Linked DNA regions of Anolis sagrei. The protein of the gene in region 2 interacts with the protein of the main gene of each other region in a pairwise test. Links are inferred from orthologs where the notes say so. Each region holds a gene or a part of one and is shown on either strand. Other genes may lie near its edges.

Region 1 (7,143 bases), on a different chromosome or scaffold from region 2:
TTCTTGGTAGGGGGTTGGACTGGATGGCCCACGAGGTCTCTTCCAACTCTATGATTCTGTGATAATTGGTTGGGAATGCTACAGGGTTATTTTGACTCTTCTATTTATCTTATGATGTAGAATGAATGCAGTTTGACCCCACTTTAACTGCCATGGCTCAATGTTATGGAAGTATGGAAGTTGTAGTTTTACAAGGCCTTGAGCCTCCTCTGCCAAAGAGGTATTTAGTCTACAGTGCTACAGTGAGTTAAAGCACAGCGCTGCTGAAATTGCTAATAGAAAGGTCGCAGGTTCAAATACGGGGAGCGGGGTGAGCTCCCGCTGTCAGCCTCAGCTTCTGCCAACCTAGCGATTTGAAAACATCCAAATGTGAGTAGATCAATACGTACCACTCCAGCAGGAAAGTAACGGTGCTCCATGCAGTCATACCGGCCACATAACATTGGAGGTGTCTATGGACAACGCCAGCTCTTCGACACAGAAATGGAGATGAACACCAACCCCCAGAGTTGGACACGACTGGACTTAATGTCAGGGGAAACCTTTACTTTATTTATTTATTTTAAAAAATTATATTCCACCCTTCTCACCCCGAAGGGGATTCAGAGCGGAGCACAGCATATATACAGCAAGCATTCAATGCCAGGACAAGAATTCATTATATGCATACATAAACATTAAAAACATTTGTCTCAATATTAAAATACACTGTTTAAAACCATTTTTACCATCAATCTACAAAACCCAGATTCCATATCACTGAGCTATAGCAGTAAGAGTTGCATCTACATTGTAAAATTAATGTAGTTTGACTGCTCAATGCTAAGGACACCTAAGAGTTGTAGTTTTACAAGGGCTTGAACCTTCTCTGCCCAGTGTGTCACTAATCTACAAGTCCTAGAATTTCATAGCATTGAGCCATGGCAGTTTGGACGGGGTCAAAGTGGATTAATTCTACAGTGTTGATGCGTCTTTGGTATGTGTGTATGTGTGTGCATTTAATTTGTTGGGTTTAAATGAGATTTCTGAAACTCTAATAAAAATATTTTTTTAAAGACAAGGACAGCCCTTAACAAGCCTTCCTTTCAAACTCCATTTCAGCTTTGTTTGGGCTAAAGCAGTAGTTCTCAACCTTCCTAATGGTGCGACCCCTTAGTACAGTTCCTCAAGTTGTGGTAATCCCCAACCATAAAATTATTTTTGTTGCTACTTCATAACTGTAATTTTGCTACTGTTTGGTAATATAATATAATTGTAATATAAATATCTGATATACAGGATGATTTTTCATTCACTGGACCAAATTTTGCACAAATGCCCAACTGGAGTTGTGCAGGGATTGATTTTGTCATTTGGGAGTTGTAGTTGCTGGGACTTATAATTAACCTACAATCAAAGAGCATTCTGAACTCCACCAATGATGGAACTGAACCAATCTTGGCAAACAAAACTCCCATGATCAACAGAAAATACTGGAAGGGTTTGGTGGCGCATTGTCCTTGAGTTTTGGAGTTGTAGTTCACCTACATCCAGAGAGCACTGTGAACTCTAAACAATGATGGATATGGACCAAACTTGGCACAAATATTCAATATGCCCAAATGTCAACACTGGCGGAATTTGGGGAAAATAGACCTTGACATTTGGGAATTGTAGTTGCTGGAATTTATAGTTCACCTACAATCAAAGAGCACTCTGAACGCTGCCACAATGTATCTGCACCAAACTTGGCACACTACCTACATGCTAACATTGAATACTGTGGGGATGGGGGAGAGGCTGTTTTTGAATTCTGGGAGTTGTAGTTCACCAACACCAAAAAGGAAGATAAGGACAGGTGGAGAAATCTCCAGCCTTCTCTCCCAAAAGGGTTCCTAAGACCATCAGAAATATATGTTTTCTGATTATCTTTAGTGACTCCTCTGAAACCCCCTTCGCAATCTCTCCCCCCCCCCCACAGGGGTCATGACCCCTAGGTTGAGAAACACTGGGCTAGAGGTATGCCTTTCATAGAATCTTTAAAAACTTCCAAAGAAGGAGCCTCTACCATACTCTGGGGCAGAGAGTTCCACTGCTGAACAGCTCTCACACACAGGAAGTTCATCCTAATGTTCAGATGGAATCTCCTTTTTTGTAGTTTGAAGCCATTGTTCCACATCCTAGTCTCCAGGGCAGCAGAAATCAAGTTCGCTCCCTCCTCCCCATGGCTTTCTCTTACATATTTATACACGGCTATCATGTGTCCTCTCAGCCTTCTCTTCTTCAGGCTAAACATGCCCAGCCCCTTAAGCCGCTCCTCATAGGGCTTGTTCTCCAGACCCTTGATCATTTTAGTCGCCCTCCTCTGGACACATTCCAGCTTGTCGATATCTCTCTTCAATTCTGGTGTCCAGAATTGGACACAATGGTCCACGTGTGGTCTGATCAAGGCAGAGTAGAGGGATAACATGACGTCCTTGGATCTAGACACTATATTCCTGTTGATGCAGGCCAAAATCCCATTGGATTTTTTTGCTGCTGCCTCACATTGTTGGCTCACGTTTAACTTGTTGTCTATGAGGACTCCAAGATCTTTTTCACACATACTGCACTTGAGCCATGAGAGCTGAGGAGAGTATGCCTTTTGCAAGCAGTGCTCTTTCTGCTGAGGATGTTATTTATTATTTATTTATTTACTATATTTATATACCGCCATTCTCAGCCTGAGGGCAACTCAGGGCAGTTTAAAAACGGCACCATTCGATGCCCACAATAACATAAAAACAATTAAAACATTTAACATCAATAACATTCAGTAAATAATAAACCCCATAAAAACATAGATCCTCTGCATCTCATTACCAAAATCATTACCTAATCGGGTTGTCCAGTCATTCCGAGATCAGGGTTTGTCTGCTACACAGCATTTGGGAAAGCCTGATGAAAAAAGCCAGGTTTTGATTTTTTGCGAAATGTTAAGAGAGGGGGGGGGGGCGATCTAATGTCCCTAGTGAGGGCGTTCCACAGACAAGGGGCCACTGCTGAAAAGGCCTTGTCTCTTGTTCCCGCCAACCGAATCTGTGAAGAAGGCGAGACTGAGAGCAGGGCCTCCCCAGAAGATCTTAAATTCCTAGATGTTTCATAAGGAGAGATACGTTTGGACAGATAAGCTGAGCCAGAATCGTTTAGGGCAGTGGTTCTCAACCTGGGGTCCCCAGATGTTTTGGCCTACAATTCCCAGAAATCCCAGCCAGTTTATCAGCTGTTAGGCTTTCTGGGAGTTGAAGGCCAAAAACTTCTGGGAACCCAAGGTTGAGAACCCCTAGTTTAGGGCTTTATAGGCTAAAGTCAGCACTTTGAATTGTGCTCAGTAGCCGACTGGCAGCCAGTGGAGCTGGTGCAACAGAGGAGTTGTGTGCTCCCTGAGCGCCGCTCCTAGAATCATAGTTGGAAGAGACCTCATGGGCCATCCAGTCCAACCACCTGCTAAGAAGCAGGAATATTGCATTCAAAGCACCCCTGACAGATGGCCATTCAGCCTCTGTTTGAAAGCTTCCAAAGAAGGAGCCTCCACCACACTCCGGGGCAGAGAGTTCCACTGCTGAACGGCTCACACAGTCAGGAAGTTCTTCCTCATGTTCAGGTGGAATCTCCTTTCTTGTAGTTTGAAGCCATTGTTCCGCATCCCAGTCTCCAAGGAAGACAACCTGCCCATTGGACCATTTGAAGATTCCGAACAGTCTTCAAAGGCAACCCCATGTAGAGAGTGTTGCAGTAGTCTATACGGGGATGTAACCAGAGTGTGGACTACCGTGACCAAGTCAGACTTTAATTCCAAGTCAGAATTAAAACTTGTACTGGACAAGTTTTAATTCAAAAAGGAATGCAAAAGGGGCTTGCTCCTAAAGAGGAAAAGGAAAAAAAAATCCTAGAAGTTGGGGTAGCAAGCAAGGAAGCAGCTTGTCTTGTTGCTCTCCAGCAACAGCCGAGTCGGGCTCTCTCTTGCTTCTGCAACACACCTTCAGCATGAGAGGAGGCGGGGGAGAGCCAAGGCAGGCCCGCGCCTGCGCAGTGGGGTTGTTTTTCACAAAGCTCTCCTTAAAGTGAGGTGGCAGCGGCTGGGCTTTCGTCTTTGTAAGGAGACCAACCGAGCTGCAGCGTCCCTTTGCAGGAGCCCCAATGAAGCGCTCCTAGAGAAGAACCACGCTGGTCCTGCCTGTTTTTCGCAGAGCAATACAGATCAGCGTCAAGGGGAAAGTCTCATATTTTTTTTCTATATGAGATCTTGACTCTCCCTTCCTTTTTTTCTCCTAAGAATATATTTTTATAGACTTTGCTATCAACAAAAAAATAATAATAATACTTTCAACATGGTGCTGGGGAAGGTGAAGAGTTTGACCATCAGCTTCGACTGTCTGAATGACAGCAACGTCCCCGTCTATTCCAGCGGGGACACAGTCTCAGGAAGGGTGAATTTGGAAGTCACGGGGGAAATCCGGGTGAAATCCTTAAAGATCCACGCCAGGGGACACGCCAAAGTCCGCTGGACCGAGTCGAGAAATGCGGGATCCAACACTGCCTACACGCAAAACTACACGGAAGAAGTCGAGTATTTCAACCACAAGGATATCTTGATCGGGCACGAAAGAGGTGAGCCTGGCTTTGCCCCATTCATTCCTCTCTTTGATTATTATTATTTTATTTATTTATTTCCCCCATCTGTTTCATGTTGCTTTCTGGGTTGGTTTTCAAAGATGGTTACTGGGCAATAGGACCAGTAAGAGTTTGGCGTTGCAGCCTTGGGGTGCATAGCTATTTAAACCGAATCAACCTAAATGGATTGCAAAGACCATCATCCACTGCAAAAAGAAGTATTTTATATTCCCAGGAAGACTTAGCCTCCATTTGCATCCAGTGAGTGCATTGACACCATTCCTCTCCATTTAAGTGACTTCAGTATTATAACCTTGGGGTGCATAGCTATTTAAATAGAGTTGGACCTAAATGGGTGGTGATTATTACCATCTGCAAAGGGAAGAAAGACTTCATATTTTCCAGTCTCTCCTAAAAAGGGACACTTTCACCCAAAAGATGGGTTACTCAGAAATAGGACCCAATTGAGAGCAATGGCACCCATTCTTCCCCCCAGTCAGTGACTTTAGCATTATAGCCTTGGAGATATTTAAAAACCAAACATGGTTCCTGTAAAAAGGACCCAATTGAGAGCAATGGCACCCAGTGAGTGAGTTTAGCATTATAGCTTTGGGATGTAGAGGCATTTAAAAACCAAATATGATTCCTGGAAAATAGGACCCATTTGAGTGCAATGGCACCCATTCTTTCCCCAGCAAGTGAGTTTAGCATTAAAGCCTTGGGATATAGAGGCATTGAAAAACAAAATATGGTTATTGTAAAATGCGACTTATTGAGTGCAATGGCACCCATTCTTTCCCCCAGCAAGCAAGTTTAGCTTTATAGCCATGGGATGTGGAGGTATTGAAAAAACCAAACATGGTTACTGGAAAATAGCATCCATTTGAGTGCATTGGCACCCATTCACCTCAATACTTGAGATTGGGATGTAGCCATTTAAACCTACAACACTTAAAAGACCATCTTGTTCCCATCTGCAAAAGACTTTTTTATATTTTCCAATAGGGACACTCAGTTGGTGAGGATTTTCTCTTATTACGCCTTGATTTTGCATCTGAGATAGGACCCATTGAATACAATAATACCAATTCCCCCAATAAATGAGTTTAGGATGCATGCTAAAAAAAAAACCCTAGAAGACGTAAATAGATTGTAAAGACCACCTGATTACCATCTGCAAAGGGAAGACTTTTTAAAAAAAAAAAAAAATCCCACTGTCTTTCCAAAAGGGATACTTTCACCTGTGCATCCAGTTAGTGAGGAATTTCTCTTAATGCTTTGCTTTTAAACTATTTCTCCCTATATCAAGGTACCTATATGGTGACCCCCTCCCCTCCCTCTATATCAAGGTGCCTTATTAAGATCACTTATGGGGCTTCTGTGGGTGATGTCCTTTGGAGAGGGTTGCTGGGCGAGAAATAGGTTCCCCGTGGTGCGTTTTGACACTTGCTTTCAGCACCCCACGTGTACCTCTTGCATTCCCTTTTAAACTCAACAAAGTTGTGGGGAAAACGTTGTTTCGGAATATTTTTCCTACAAATGCGGATGGATAATTGGGTTTTGAAGTGAAGGAGGGGGACCCCCCCCCCCATTGAATATGATCAATAATTGCATTATTAACAGCATCCTTTCTAAGTTGGGGCAGTCAATGGAAAGCTCCCCCCTAGAGCTCTGCAAAGGATGCCTGATATTAGCCAAGGGAGTCAAAAATGGAACAAACCTCCCCAAAGGGGTTCCCTATGCTTCTGACTGTTTAATCTGTAGATTGCTATGGCACCCAATGTGGAAGTCTAGGAGAGTCTAAGGTTGTTTTTCTGAAGTTTCCACCCTTTGTTCAAAGCGGTTCAATCCTGTTTGGGACCAGTCCTGGGGAGAAGGGAGGGGGCTGCGCCTGCTCCTCCAAAGCCCATTGGCTGCAGGCGTGTCAGGTGGTGGCGATGACTTAATTCCTAGCACAAGAAAATGGGGAAACCGGTTATGTAATTGTGGCTTGCCCTTTTTATATATAGAGAGAGCGAGAGAAAGAAAGAGAGAGGAGATATATATCCTCACACACATATATATGAACATATATTTACATACATGTATATACATATCTTCTCCATATGTGTAGATATATATAGACCACATTTTTCTCTATCCCCCTTTCTCTATAAATAATTTCTCTCCCTTTCACACACATATACACACACTTATCTATATTTATGCAGATTTACTGCATATATGAGAATTTAATAGAAGCCTTTTTTGTTAAAATAAGCAAGTTGCAAATTAGCCATTCCCTTGCTTTCGAGGCAAGTCTTTTCAGCTTCCTTTTTGCCAAAAGATGGAAGAAGGCAATGTCTGCATTGAGATTAAATGGCATTTTTTTTAATCTTGCTATTCAAAGTGCACATTCTTCCCCGGGTATTTGCAATTTTCAAGAGGCACTTATTCAGAAACTAAAAGGTGCAAAAGACAATGTCCAAAATCCTGGTAGGAGACAGGCGTTAGTAGTAAAAGAGGCGACTT
Region 2 (7,398 bases):
GGTCAACATGTACATACACACCCAGCTCATTTTGGGGGGTTCACCTGCTTTTTGTTACTCTTCAGCATGTACTGCCACTGAATAAAGAGAACCACAACAGTCAGACCAGTGGGAAAAGGCTTAGCTGGTTCCCTCTAGTTGATGAGTCTCACTGAGGATCTCCATAAAAACCTTCTCTGAAGGTTTTCAAGGACAGGCTAGAGGGCCATCTGTCGGGTTGGACTGGATGATCCTTTGGGTCTCTTCCAACTCTAGGATTCTATTGATCTATGACTTAGAGCAGTGGTTCTCATCCTGTGAGTCCCCAGGTGTTATGGCCTACAACTCCCAAAAATCCCAGCCAGTTTAGCAGCCACTGACTTATAGGGTTGGACTGGATGGCCCTTAGGGTCCCTTCCACATAGCTGAATAAAATCCCACATTATCTGCTTTGAACTAGAATATATGGCAGTGTGGATTCGGATAACCCAGTTCAAAGCAGATATTCTGGTTTATATGGTTGTGTGGAAGAGACCTATGATTTAGAGGGGTAGACTGGATAGTGCTGGGTTCTCTTCCAACTGTAAGATTCTATGACCTCTATATATGTATCTTTCTTTCTGTCTTTTAGTGGATTGGACTGGATAGCCCTCGATTCTCTTCCAACTGTAAGATTCTATCTATTTATTTATTTATTTATTTGCTGCATTTGTTAACCGCCGTTCTCAGCCCTAGGGCGACTCACGGCGGTGTACAACATATAAAAGACAATTTACAATAAGCCATAACGACAAAAAACAATATATCACTAATACACAATTATCTAATTACACTAAAAAATCCGCTCCGTCTTATAGTAGAATCATAACCAATCTCGTAATCCATATTCCGTTCCAGTTGTCATTTCCAGTTACTGTAGCACTCAGTTAAATGCCTTCTCAAATAGCCATGTCTTGAGGCTCTTACGGAAGGACATAAGGGAGGGCGCCTGTCTGATGTCAGCAGGGAGGGTGTTCCACAGCCGGGGGGCCACCACCGAGAAGGCCCTCTCTCTCGTCCCCGCCAGACGTGCCTGTGAAGCAGGCGGGATCGAGAGAAGGGCCTCCCCGGACGATCTCAAGGTCCTCGTGGGCTCATAGGCCGAGATGCGGTCCGAAAGGTATTTTGGGCCGGAACCGTTTAGGGCTTTGTAGGATAACACCAGCACCTTAAATTATCTATCTATCTATGAATGATTGGGTCAGACTGGATGGCCCATTCATTCTATCTATCTATGAATGAAAGTGTCAGACTGGATGGCCCATTCATTCTATCTATCTATCTATCTATCTATGAATGAAAGGGTCAGACTGGATGGACCATTCTATCTATCTATCTATCTTTGAATGAAAGGGTTAGACTGGATGGCCCATTCTATCTATCTATCTATCTATGAATGAAAGGGTCAGACTGGATGGCCCATTCTATCTATCTATCTATCTATCTATGAATGAATGAAAGGGTCAGACTGGATGGCCCATTCTATCTATCTATCTATCTATCTATCAATGAATGAAAGGGTCAGACTGGATGGCCCATTCTATCTATCTATCTATCTATCTATGAATGAAAGGGTCAGACTGGATGGCCCATTTTATCTATCTATCTATCTATCTATCTATGAATGAAAGGGTCAGACTGGATGGCCCATTCTATCTATCTATCTATCAATCAATGAAAGGGTCAGACTGGATGGCCCATTCTATCTATCTATCTATGAATGAAAGGGTCAGACTGGATGGTCCATTCTATCTATCTATCTATCTATGAATGAAAGGGTCAGACTGGATGGTCCATTCTATCTATCTATCTATCTATCTATGAATGAAAGGGTCAGACTGGATGGCCCTTGGGGGTCCCTTCCAACTCCAGCATTAATTATTTATTTATTATTTATTTATTTACCTTACTTATATACCGCTGTTCTCAGCCCGAAGGTGACTCACAGCGGTTCACAACAAATACGAACAGCAAAAATTCAGTGCTACAGTATAAAAACAGTTCACAGCGTAACACATTACATAATTAATAAAGTTACTACAATACCCATTCACTGTCGTCTCGTCATCAAAAACATGTTCCAGATTTGTCATCCATTGTTCCATTCCAGTGTTCATTAACCAATCATTGCACTAATTATTCGAACGCCTGCTCAAACAGCCAGGTCTTCACTTTTTTGCGGAATACCATTAGAGATGGTGCTAATCTAATGTTCATAGGAAGGGCGTTCCACAGCTGAGGAGCCACCACCGAGAAGGCCCTATCTCTCATCCCCGCCAGCCGTGCTTGAGAAGCAGGCGGGATCGAGCGCAGGGCCTCCCCGGAAGATCTCAAAGTCCTGGTGGGTTCATAGGCAAAGATGCGGTCGGATAGGTAGGATTCTATATTTATTTATTTCTCTAAACTATTCTCTTCTTCCATCAGCACCCACTGGATCACTCTCAACATCACTCTGAGTGTGACAGATGAGGCTCATGCTCGTTTGTGTCATCCACAGAGGTCCAGAGGGCCTTTGGGCAGAATCAGAGCCAGGGCTGGAGCAGAAGTGGGCAAGTGATGGCTGGGGTTCTGTCAATAAGCAATGAAAAGGAAAGGGCCTGAGGCCATTAGGAATTATGGGAATTGAAGTCCAAAACACCTGGATAGAGGGCCTAAGTTGGCTCAGGCCTGTGTCAGAGAGAGAAGGAGGCCTTCTAGGTTTGAGGAAGGGTCTTCCTTTCGGACTGCAACTCCCAGAATCCCCCAGTCGCCCCTTCTGGCAACTGCAGCCCGAGAAGGCGCTTTCCCCCTTCATTTCCTTCCTCTGGCGTTCCCCACCGGTCTCCCCTCCAAGTCCCATCCAAGGCCGACCCGCCTCAGCTCCCAACCCCAAGCAAAGCCTGGGACCTTGAGAGGAAGGGGAAGAAGCCTCACAGCAGCCACACAAACCACAACAAGACTAACGGCAACAGGCTGTTCCTCTTACCGGCGGCGGCTGAGCTCCTTCCTCTTCCCACTTCCGCCTCCTGTAAGTCGTGGGTCATGTGACAGGCAGGCGAGGCGTCACATGACCCTCCGCCTTTCTGGGGCAAAGTTCGAGAGAGGCCAAAGCGGACCAATCAGCGGCGCCCTGCGTTTCCCAGGCTGCCTTGCGCGGGAGAGGAGGGCAAGATGGCGCCGGTGGAACACGTTGTGGCCGACGCGGGGGCTTTTCTGAAGGCAGCCCCGCTCCAGGTGGGTCTCACAGGCCTCCAGGTGGGCTCTAAGCTGGGAGGCGTCCAGAGAAGGGCCGCCAAAAGGGCCAGAGGCCTGGAAGTCAGGAATTCCTCTCAGGAAGAGCTGAGGGAGCTGCAGGGAGTGTTTGCCTTGGAGGAGAGAAGGGGGCCCGGCAGCCATGTTTCCTTATTTGGAAGAGGAGAAGGCAAGGCTTGTTCCCTGGGTTCGCAGTTTGCTCGTGACGCCCACATATATTTCTCCATGCCTTCACAAGCAGCCTCAGCTAAGGAATGAATTCCTGGAGCATATAATGGGCTGTATGAGGCTGTATGTGGAGGCCGTGACAGACCTTGTATTTCTAGGTGCAAAGATTACTGCAGATGCAGACTGTGGCCAGGAAATCAGAAGACGCTTACTTCTTGGGAGGAGAGCAATGTCCAGTCTCAGTAAAATAGTAAAGAGTAGAGACATCAGACTGGCCACAAAGATCCGCCTAATCAAAGCCATGGTATTCCCTGTAGTCATCTATGGATGTGAGAGCTGGACCTTAGGGAAGGCTGAGCAAAGGAAGAGAGATGCTTTTGAACTGTGGTGTTGGAGGAAAGTTCTGAGAGTGCCTTGGACTGCGAGAAGATCCAACCAGTCCATCCTCCAGGAAATAAAGCCCAGCTGCTCACTGGAGGGAAGGATACTAGAGACAAAGTTGAAGTTCTTTGGCCACATTATGAGGAGACAGCAAAGCCTAGAGAAGACAATTATGCTGGGGAAAGTGGAAGGCAAAAGGAAGAGGGGCCGACCAAGGGCAAGATGGATGGATGGCATCCTTGAAGTGACTGGACTGACCTTGAAGGAGCTGGGGGTGGTGACGGCCGACAGGGAGCTCTGGCATGGGCTGGTCCATGAGGTCACGAAGAGTCGGAGACGACTGAATGAATGAACAACAACAGCAACATGAGGAAAACATATTGAAATAGGTGTGCTTGCCATCAAGGGTCCTCATCTGGGGATCATAGAATCCTAGAGTTGGAAGAGACCTCATGGGCCATCCAGTCCAACCCAATTCTGCCAAAAAGCAGGAAAATTGCATTCAAAGCACCTCTGACAGTTGGCCATCTATCCTCTGCTTAAAAGCTTTCAAAGAAGGAGCCTCCACCACACTCCAGGGCAGAGAGTTCCACTGCTGAACAGCTCTCACAGTCAGGAAGTTCTTCCTCATGTTCAGATGGAATCGCCTTTCTTGTAGTTTGAAGCCATTGTTCCACGTCCTAGTCTCCAGGGCAGCAGAAAACAAGTTTGCTCCCTCTTCCCTATGACTTCCCTATGACTTCCTCTCAGATACTTGATGCATGACTATCATGTCTCCTCTCAGCCCTCTCTTCTTCAGCTCTTTAAGCTGCTCCTCATAGGGCTTGTTCCCCAGACCCTTGATCATTTTAGGCACCCTCCTCTGGACACATTCCAGCTTTTCAATATCTCTCTTCAATTGTGGTGCCCAGAATTGGACACAATATTCCAGGTGTGATCTAACCAAGGCAGAATAGAGGGGGAGCATGACTTCCCTAGATCTAGACACTATACTGCTATTGATGCAGGCCAAAATCCCATTGGGTTCAGGTTACCTAAAGGATTGCCTTCTCCCATACAATCCGTCCCACTTACTTTGTTCCTCTGGGAGGTGGTAGCTCCACTAGCCAAAACCTGACTGGAATAACCTGCCAGTAGAGCCCTGACAGCTGGATCAGCTGTCGGAATTAAAGATACAAATGAAGAACTATCTCTTCCAGCAGGCCTACCCAGTTTTAATTGTGAATTTTAAATTCTACTGAATTCTTGGTTTTTGTTTTGTGTGTTTTAAAACATATTTTATAGAGGTATGTTATTTTATATAATGTTTTAAAATTATTATATGCTTGTTTATGTTTTAGTAATCCTGTAACCCACCTTGAGCCAAATTAAAACTATTTTACTGACATATTATTATTATTATTATTATTATTACTATTATTCAAACTGCAAGGAAAGAGATTCCATTGAAACCTAAAGATGAACTTTCTGATGTTTAGAACCATTCAATGGCAGCATACCGACTGCCTGGGAGTCCAGTGGAGTCTCCTTCCTTTGCTGGAGGTTTTGACTTAGGGGCTGCGGAAGTGCTTTGATTGTGTCTTCCAGGCTAGCAAAAAGAAGGGGTTGGATGACCTTTGAGGATTCCTTCCAGCTTTAGGGTTCTGTGATTCTACCATGAGCTGAGTGTGAGCCAATGCTGGGATTCAGCAGCAGATAAAGCCCAATCGTGGCACAAGAACTGGGTGGCCCTTTTGGGGACCCCTCCCCATAGGATACAGACTGTCGGGGAGCCTGGCTGAGTCTTTTTCCTTCTCCTGGGGGCTTTAAACAGAGGCTGGATGTCCATCTCTCAGGGGGCTTGGATCGTGCCTCCCTGCCTAGCAGAAAGAAGGGAGTTGATGGTCTTTGGTGATCCTTTCCACTTCTAGTGGGACATTATAGACCACTTGGGAATCCTAAAGAGTTTGCTTTTCTGGGATGTTTTTGGGTGGAGCCTTCCTCGGCGGTACCCCCCTAACCCTTTCCCTCTCTCTGTGCAGGACATCGGCCAAAACGTCTACACTGTGCGGGAGGTGGTGGCTGAGATTCGGGACAAGGAGACCAAGCGTCGCCTGGCAGTCCTTCCTTATCAGCTCAACTTCAAACAGCCCTTCCCTGAATACATCCGCCTGGGTAAGCCCCACTTGCAGACCTACTGCTTTTGCTCCCAGATTGCCATCCATCTTGAAGGATGTTTGGAATACAAGACTTATGCAGTGGAACCTTGGCTTAAGAGTGTCCCAAGTTGAGAACATTTTGAGTTAAGAACTGTCAATTGAGTTGAGAGCATATTGAGTTAAGAACTGTCAATTGGCCTGTGTTTGCTTTGACATACAAGCAGCATTTTGAGTTAAGAGCCAGCACCAGAGGAAGTGCTAACGCAAGAGTTCAGGGCTTTAGGGCTTCAAGGGAGCAACCTTCTTGCTCTGTCTGTCTGCTTTGGGAGATTGCTATCCGCTTTGCTCTTGTCCACTTTGAGGAACTTTGGGTTTGTTGATTTTGTGTGTTTTTAATAAATTTTAATTCCTGATCTGTTTGGCTTCATAAAGAGTGAGAGGGAGGGAAGGTGGGTGGAATGAGGAGGAAGAAGAAAAGGATGCTTCTGCCTCTTTACTTGGTGCTTTGGCTTCTTTGCCACAACTTTGTATTGTCATGGAACGAATTAGACTCTTAAATCAAGGTATCGATGCATAAAGGTACAGGGATTGCATCCCAAATCCTCTGGAGGCCGCTTATTTGGACTCTTGGCAAACAGGTGGCCTCTAGAGCCTCAGTCATTCAGAAATCTTGCTCATTTGGGGCAGCCATAACTTCCTTATATAAGATACTAGTCTCTAAAAGTTCCTTTTTGGCCTTGGCAAGTTCTGTATGCTGCATTTTCTGCTACCTTGGTTTTATTGGGCACAACTTTGGTCATGTGTTTTCTGTTACACAAGCCTCCGCATTGACTGTAGCTCAAGTCATAAATATTTATTTTGATAATTCCCAAAGAGAGAGATAGGGCCATATCCCTGAGCAAGCATCGTTAGCCTCTTCTCTTCTTCCTTGGCCTTTTGGCTGGAAAGCATGGGACTATCAAACTACTGCTCTGTATATGGATTCAATGACGGAATGCCATTTTCTCTCCCTTTCTTTAGTGACCGAGTTTTCCAAGAAGACGGGTGACTATCCCAGCCTTTCGGCTACAGACTTAAAGGTTCTGGCTTTGACTTACCAGCTGGAAGCTGAGAATGTTGGTATTGTTCACCTGAAGACGGAACCTGAGCAGAAGGTGGGAGAAGCAGACGCTTTCATATCTATGCTTGCCTCCTCAGTGTGCAAAATGCACATTTATACTCCAATTAACCTGTTTTTTAGATGACCCCCCAAAAGTATTTTTACTTTTCTTGCAAATGATAATATTATATGTATTTTGATAGTGTTGTGTTTTAACTGTGTTGTATTCTGCCTTGAGCTGCAAGGAGAGGCAGAGTATTCTTATTATTATAATTATAAATGAAACATACTGAATATCAGGGTACATCTCTTTGGTTTGCCAGTGACCTTTGAAAACGGATGGGTATGTTTTGTGGTGTGAGC
Region 3 (7,717 bases), on a different chromosome or scaffold from region 2:
ACCTGGAAGCACCCCAAGGCACACCTGCGGAACAAACCTGCGGATTCCAAATGATGCTTCATCTGACTACATATCCTGTACTTGGGACTTTTATCTCCTCGTTAGCTATGTCTCTAGCGCTCAGAAACTGGTTTCACTTTAGCTGAGAGTTTCTTATCTTTTTTTCTCGGAACCTGGCAGAACACTGAAGCCACTGTTCAGCTTTTCTGTTTTAACTAATCTCCTCCCAACTATCTATTTGCTTATTTATTTGTTTACTATATTTGTATACCGCCCTTCTCAGTCCTTAGGCGACTTAACAGGTGCCAAGCTGCTTTCAAGTTCCAAATCATGGGAACTCTCTGGTAGTAGTTCAGGGAGCACACCATCATCCCCACACCCTATAGGGATATTCTCATGGGAAACTACACTTTGAACAGGGATCTCCTGGTCATTCTCTGCGTCAATATCATAGACCAAACCATTGCTATCTTGAAACTCATTGACATCACTCCCCACATCCAAAGCGCCCTGATCCTGAAACTCAATCACAGGCTGAGCTCCAACAGAACATAACAATAAACACACACCCTATCAAACTCTAAAACAGTTAAAACATTAAAAACATCTGAGCAATTGAAACACATAGAGCAATAAAACAAATTAAAAACATATAAACATATAAAATGCAGAGTCTTGATTTCATGCTTATTCATAGTCATTATCCAAAATCCATAGTCATTATTCAGGCTGTTGAGGTTGAATTCCTTAATATTTTATTCTCCAAACGCCTGCATACAAAGCCAGGTCTTTAGCTTTTTTCTAAAGAACAGGAGGGATGGGGCCTGCCTGATGTCACTGGGGAGGGAGTTCCACAGCCAAGGGGCCATCACTGAATAGACTCTGTCTCTTGTTCCCACCAGTCTCACTTGCGAATGGGGTGGGACCGAGAGCAGGGCCTCCCCAGCAGATCTTAAAGCTCTAAATTGGCAGACAGAAGCCCCATGACCAACAAAAAGTGACTGGAGATCTTTGAGGAGATGTATAGAAGTTGCAGTTCACCTACATCCAGAGCACACTATGAACCCAAACAATAATTGACCTGGACCAAACTCGGCATGCCTACCCAATATGCCCAAATTTGAATACTTGTGGGTTTTGAGGGGAATTGGCCTGGACACTTTGGAGTTGTAGGTACTGGGATTTATAGTTCACTTGCAATCAATGAGCACCGAACTCCACCAAAGATGGAAATTGAACAAACATGGTACATAGAGGCCCCCATGGAGATCTTTGGGGGAAATCCTTCTTGATTTGAGGAAGTTGTAGTTCACCTATATCCAGAGAGCACTGTGAACCCAAACACCGATGGATCTGGACCAAACTTATACCTGATAAGCTGAAATTTGATTACTGGGGGTGGGGGAACCAACCTTCCTTTCTGGGAGTTGTAGTTCACATGCAACTAGCAAAACTGTGACCTAGACCAAACTTGGCACACAGAAACCCCATGACCAACTCAACAGACTGAAGGGACTTGAGGGGACTGACTCACCATAGTGAATTGTAGTTTACCCTACAGCCAGCGAGCACACTGAACCCCATCGATGATGCACCTAGAGCAGTGTTTCTCAACCTTCCTAATGCTGTAACCCCTTAATACAGCTCCTAATGTTGTGGTGACCCTGAACCATAAAATTATTTTCATTGCTACTTTATGCAATTTTGCTACTGTTATGAATCGTAATCATGATGTAAATATCTGATATGCAGGATGTATTTTCATTTACTGGACCAAATTTGGTACAAATACCCGATATGCCCAAATTTGAATACTGATTGGTTGATTTTGTCATTTAAGAGTTGTAGTTTCTGGGATTTATAGTTCACCTACAATCAGAGAATTGTGAACTCCAACAATGATGGAATTGAACCAGATTTGGCACACAGAATTCCCCTGACCAACATAAAATACTGGAAGCATTTGATGGGCAATGACCTTGAGTTTTGGAGTTGTAGTTCAGCTACATCCAGAGAGCTGGAGGAGGGCTTTTAGTAGGAGGATTTGCCGTCTGTTTCCAAAATGGAAGAGAAGGACAAGCAGAGAGATCTTCAGCCTTCTCTGCCAAAGGGGTTCCTAAAACCATCTGAAATATGTGTTTTCTGATGGTGTTTGGTGACCCCACTGAAACCTTCCTGGTGACCCCCCCCCCCCCCGGGGTCCCAACCCCCAGGTTGAGAAACACTTATCTAGAGCAAACTTGACCAACATAACAATTTTTTAAGTACTGATTGAATTTTTCGGGATTAACCTGGCATAATGTGAGTTGTAGTTCACCCACAACCTTATGCAATTTGTACAACTAAAAATTTGACATTTTCAAATAACCCAACCAGCGCCTGGTACCCAAGTTAATACATAATATTGTAAGGGAATTGCAGACAGTTTGAAAAAGCAATGCTCCCTCTTTTGATCATATTTTCCGATCAAACACGTTTTGCAGGTTTTTGTTTCTTTAAAACCTGCAAAACCTGTTTGACCAGAGTGGAAAGTGGGACAAAAGCAATATTTGCATACATTTCCATCGTGGGAAAATAAATATATTTGAAACCATTTTGAATTCTCTTAAAAACGGTTGTCTTTCCCTAGGCTTCTATGCTTTGCACTCCCTATTATCTTGGAAGCTGGAAAAACAATTGTGCTCAAAACTGCACCAAATGTTGTTCTAGGCAGGTATTAAGTATGCGACTACAGCAATGGGAAGGCATTTCTTTGCTCTGTACCTCAGTATAGCTCAGTCTCTTCCAAGCTGATGACTATCAGCCTCTCTGCTGGCACTCTTCAGGTTTGCCCCGCAGGCCCCAAACAGGCGGCCTTCCATGTAGGGCAGCATCCCCACTTCCCCCTCAGGTTTGCAAATTCCAAAGCGAGCCATGTATTGTTAACTCTTTCACCTTTTTCTGGTGCCATGCGCAAGGCCCTGTCCTTAGGTGCCTCTGCCCTCTAGTGGAAGGCACACCAGAAAGGGCGGCTGCAAACCTGCTCCCCTCTCAACCCCTTACCTGTTCAAGGGATTGCATTTTGGAGAGAGGAGTCTGAGAAAAGGAAATAAAATGGAGTTTTTATACAAAGGTCTCTGAACTACAGCTCCCAGAAAGCTCCTTGCTATTGTCTTCACAGAAACCAGAGAGCCAAACCGACTTTCCCACTGGACTGATGTCAAGGATGTCAGGAGCCACCGTCAGACTCCATATGGGGCCATGTGCGGTAGCAGCCCAGGATGCAGAATATGTATGAAAACACAGGATCTTATACATAAATAAGCAACGAAGATGCCACACTGTGGGCTGTGCCACTCTGGGCTTCACAATGATTCTTGGAAACAAAAATGAAAGTGGTGTTGTGCGGTTTCTGGGCTGTATGGCTGTGTTCTAGTAGCATTTTCTCTTGTGGCTGGCATCTTCAGAAGATCTGAAGCCACAGATATGGTTGAAATGTCATGAGAACATGTTGCTAGAACAGGGCCCTAAACCTGTCACGTTGCCAGGGCTCTACCTTATTTAGGTAGAGATTAATCAAACTATCAGTTTTATCAAACAGTTTAATTAAAACAGCACTTACTTGCTGGCTGTTTCAATAGACCAAAATATAAAACACAAAGATAGCACGCAGCTACAGAATAAACAAAAACTGATAGCAAAAATAACTTCGTAGTCAAAAGGGTCCAGTCCAATGGTCAAATGCCAGCAACATCCACCACCAAAATGCAACAGATACTTTTCTCCCAAAGATAAGTCTCAAAGTTAGCTCCTTAAATCCAGTAATACCCAGCTGCAACCCATCTCCTGCACACCTCCACTCGTAATTTCTTTTACCTGTAAACTGTTACTTATAAACTACTCAACCCTTTAGAACCAAGACTTACATTAATCCTTCCATCACCAACTGCCAGGTCTACCACCACCAACCACCATCAACTATGGAACATATGACAAAACCACACCACACTGCAGTGATTCTGGCCGTGAAAGCCTTCGAGTAAAGCGAAAGTCTTGGAAAAATCAATCAACTAGCTAGGTTGATTCAATGAACCAGCTAGGAATTTAAGATCTTCTGGGGAGGCTCTGCTCTTGATCGTGCCTTCATTGCAGGCGTGCCCAGTGGGGACGAGAGGCAGGGTCTTCTCAATGGTGGCTCCTCGGCTATGGAACTCCCTTAGATCAGCCCCCTCTCTACTGACATTCTGAAAAAAATTTAAAACCTGGCTTTTTGAACAAGCCTTTGAAAACGCAATGTAATGGATGAATATGGAACCCAGGAAAGAATGAACATGGTATGGCTTGACAATGTTTTTGGAAAATGAGCTAATAGGAAGTTACTGGTGTTTTATGCTTTTAATGCTTTTTACAGGGTTTTTATAATGTGTGTTAATTGGGTTGTTGTAGTTTTTTTGGGCTATATGGCCATGTTCTAGAAGCATTCTCTCCTGATGCATCTATGGCAAGCATCTGCATCTATGGCAAGCATCTTCAGAGGTTGTGAAGTCTCTGTGTTAATTGTTTTAAATTTTGTTTTAATTTTTTAATGTTCACTGTGGCATCGAATCGTGCCAGTGTAAGCTGCCTTGAGTCGCCTTCGGGCTGAGAAAGGCGGGATAGAAATGCAGCAAATAAAGAAAGAAAGAGATAAACATGCCGTGGGTCACTATAGGGATGCACATCTGTACTTCTAATGTCCTGGAGCCCTTGATCTCCCAAAAATGGAAATTTGCTTGAGTGTTTTCATTGCACATTGCTGAAGATTATGCCAAACCCTTTGCTGCATGAACATATTCAGTGACTGGTCTTTCTAGCTATAGGCAGTGCTGCCTCTCCTCTTGGAGGCAATGTATAGCCACACCATTGGCAGTCATCAATTATTACCATAGCCCTCTTATAAAACAACCTCTTGTAAGTATTGTTTGCTAAAGATGGAAGAAAATGCTTGTCTCTTGCCTATGGTTTGTAAAACTTTTGGTGTCTTATTGGTGCACATAATGTCAGGTCTCCATGTTCTCTGGGCACAGGACCCCCATGAAAGGGAAGAGGATGGCCTTACCACTAGGCAGCCTCAGTCAATCACTCTATCACTCTATCACTCTATCACTCTATCTATCTATCTATCTATCTATCTATCTATCTGTCGGTCAAAGTATGCATGCGTATCTGTTTGTCTGCCTGTAGCACAAAGCTATTGCTAATTGAAGTGGCCCCTTGTAGTGTCACTGCATTGGCTTTTGCTAGATGAGTGGCAATGCTCGTGCTTATGTACTTATTTATGTCTGTATATAAGTATCCCACAACCAGCCAACTTGTGTTGGCGCTATTGTAGCAATACAAGGGAAGTTCACCACTCCTCCCTAACTAACCATAAAAGGTGCATGTTTTGTTTATCCCACAATATTTTTGTCAGCTTCTGATACAGTTAGATACTTTTTATACCTGCTCCCCAGGTTGGTTTATTTTAACAAAGTGCAAAATTAAAAAGAACAGGAGCAAAATCTGTTGGAAATTGCAACTTTCTTCAAGCCTCCACTAGTTATTTGTTATGTATATAATTCAGATTGCTTAGTGTATTGTATATGTGTGTATTGGTATGCAGTTTTTTCCTTAACTCTATGTTGTGGGAGGGGCGGCAAACCATGTGATCAGATGTGGGATTGTTCAGGACTCAGACTCCATTTTAGAAACTGTATGATTTCAGATGCCATTAGAAGCAGAAGCCATTAGACTTTCAATGTAGAAAAAGTATACCTTAGAAGACTTTAGAAAAAGACAGCCTTTTAGACTCTCAGACCAGAGAGGTGCTTTAGACTATGGACTGTGATTATAAGAAAGATGCCCTGTGTTGTCTGCACAAACTACTTCAAACTCTATTTGTAACTGGATTGATGAGCAAAATAACTGTATGCTGAATACATGAAATCTGTGAGTAAACCAACTATGTTACTTTTAAAGAAGTCTGTTTATTTTGTCTTTTGAGAGCATGATTTAAAACCAAGATGTTTTAAGGGAGAGTAGATGTTTTTGGGCAACTGAAAGAACACTTCTAAAACTCTGCTATATATCATAGAATCATAGAGTTGCAAGAGACCTCGTGGGCCATCCAGTCCAGCCTTCTGCCAAGAAGCAGGAAAATTGCATTCAAAGCACCCCTGACAGATGGCTATCCAGCCTGTGTGTGTGTTTGTATGTGCATTGGAATATCTTTGTCCCAAACAGTTCAAAGAGATGTCTAGGTATATTGGTTTAACAGCTGAGAAACCTAATTGCTTTGCATGAATGCTGATTGATATTTATCACTAAGGACTCAAGCGAGTTTTTAACTATTCTCAGGGAGATTCCTGATTTTCCCAAAATGGTGGTGAATGCCATTTTCCAAAAATATTTTTTTTTAACCCGATAGATAGATAGATAGATAGATAGATAGATAGATATAGATATAGGTTTAAAAATATTTTTGGAAAATGGCATATATATATAGTAAGTTTGCATACAAATGTGTGTGTGTGTGTGTGTATATATATATATATATACACACACACACACATTTGTATGCAAACTTACTAAGTCCTATATACATATAGGACTTAGTAAGTTTGCATGCAAATGTATCTTGTGTCCTGTAGCAGAGTTGGTGGGTAGGTGTTTAAGATGTTCATTGAAGTCAGAACTACCTATGTACTCAGTACTTGTATACATGAGTACACAGGGTAGTTCTGACTTCAATGAAGCTTATGTGTTGGTAGATGTACCTGGTGGCGAACTATATGAAAATATAGAAAGTGAAGGAATAGTGTATAGCAGTTGCATTGCCCTTTTAGGTTTCCTCACAGCTCTCCTAAATGGTAGTCTTTATGCTCTTCGTTGTCTAGACCACTGCTTCTTAAGCTATGGGTCCTGACTCCAAATAGGGTTCCATAAGAGGTTGCAAAAATTTGGCAACAGAAAAAGGGTTTTGAGCACCACCCAGTGGATGGTTTAGACATTGACATGAATCTGTTAGCAACAACAGTGCAGTGTTCACAATGGACTCTGAAGGAAATACTTCGGCTTTTCTTCATAAAAAGGTAAATCAGCCTCTTTAGCAAGCCTTGCAAAAGCTGATTTATTATCAGTAAATGTTCGATTAGTATAACTATTTTGTATACTTATATACCTGTGATCATGTACAAATTTCTCTGATAGAAAGGGATCATGAGCAGAAGAACTTTAAGAAGCTCTGTCCTAGACCAGGTTTTGCAAATATTTTTAGTTGAGGCTTGGATTTTTCCCTATGAAGGTCACCTCTGGCTTTATTTTCCCTGTTCCTTGTTTCTCTAGTGTTTTATTTTAGCATTACTACAGGCTTTTTGTCATACTCTTACCTTATTCTTAGGAGCCCCCAGTGGCACAATGGGTTAAACCCCTGTGACAGCAGGACTAAAGACCAACAGGTTGGAGGTTCGTGGATGAGCTTCCTCTGTCAGCTCCAGCTCTCCATGTGGGGACATGAGAGAAGCCTCCCACAAGGATGGTAAAACATCAAAACATCCAGGTGTCCCCTGGGCAATGTTCTTGCAGATGGCCAATTATCTCACAACAGAGGCGACTTGCAGTTTCTCAAGTTGCTCCTGATGTGAAAACAAAAAAAAATTGAGGGGCTCTCCACATTTCCCATAGCTACTTTGTTGCCAGGACTTACAGTTCAATAATTGTG

The links. The genes of interacting proteins can lie anywhere in the genome.
Region 1: the proteins of WWP2 (region 2) and ARRDC3 interact in binary tests that used the Homo sapiens proteins (3 or more experiments, as listed by UniProt). The link is inferred for Anolis sagrei from reciprocal best matches to the Homo sapiens genes WWP2 and ARRDC3.
Region 3: the proteins of WWP2 (region 2) and ATN1 interact in a two-hybrid assay, tested with the Homo sapiens proteins (2 studies listed by BioGRID and IntAct). The link is inferred for Anolis sagrei from reciprocal best matches to the Homo sapiens genes WWP2 and ATN1.

The regions. Positions count from the first base shown.
Region 1 is NC_090022.1:255,830,279-255,837,421, forward strand, and holds the start of ARRDC3 (arrestin domain-containing protein 3), read left to right. Parts: upstream 1-4,078; 5' UTR 4,079-4,349; coding exon 4,350-4,629; intron 4,630-7,143. UniProt on the Homo sapiens protein: Adapter protein that plays a role in regulating cell-surface expression of adrenergic receptors and probably also other G protein-coupled receptors.
Region 2 is NC_090028.1:28,882,659-28,890,056, reverse strand, and holds the start of WWP2 (NEDD4-like E3 ubiquitin-protein ligase WWP2), read right to left. Parts: upstream 3,060-7,398; 5' UTR 2,984-3,059; intron 1-2,983. Other genes in the region: RNA-binding protein NOB1, read left to right, coding at 3,169-3,231, 5,820-5,952, 6,957-7,090. UniProt on the Homo sapiens protein: E3 ubiquitin-protein ligase which accepts ubiquitin from an E2 ubiquitin-conjugating enzyme in the form of a thioester and then directly transfers the ubiquitin to targeted substrates.
Region 3 is NC_090022.1:198,147,679-198,155,395, reverse strand, and holds the start of ATN1 (atrophin-1), read right to left. Parts: upstream 3,066-7,717; 5' UTR 3,043-3,065; intron 2,970-3,042; exon of another isoform or gene 2,764-2,969; intron 1-2,763. UniProt on the Homo sapiens protein: Transcriptional corepressor. Recruits NR2E1 to repress transcription. Promotes vascular smooth cell (VSMC) migration and orientation. Corepressor of MTG8 transcriptional repression.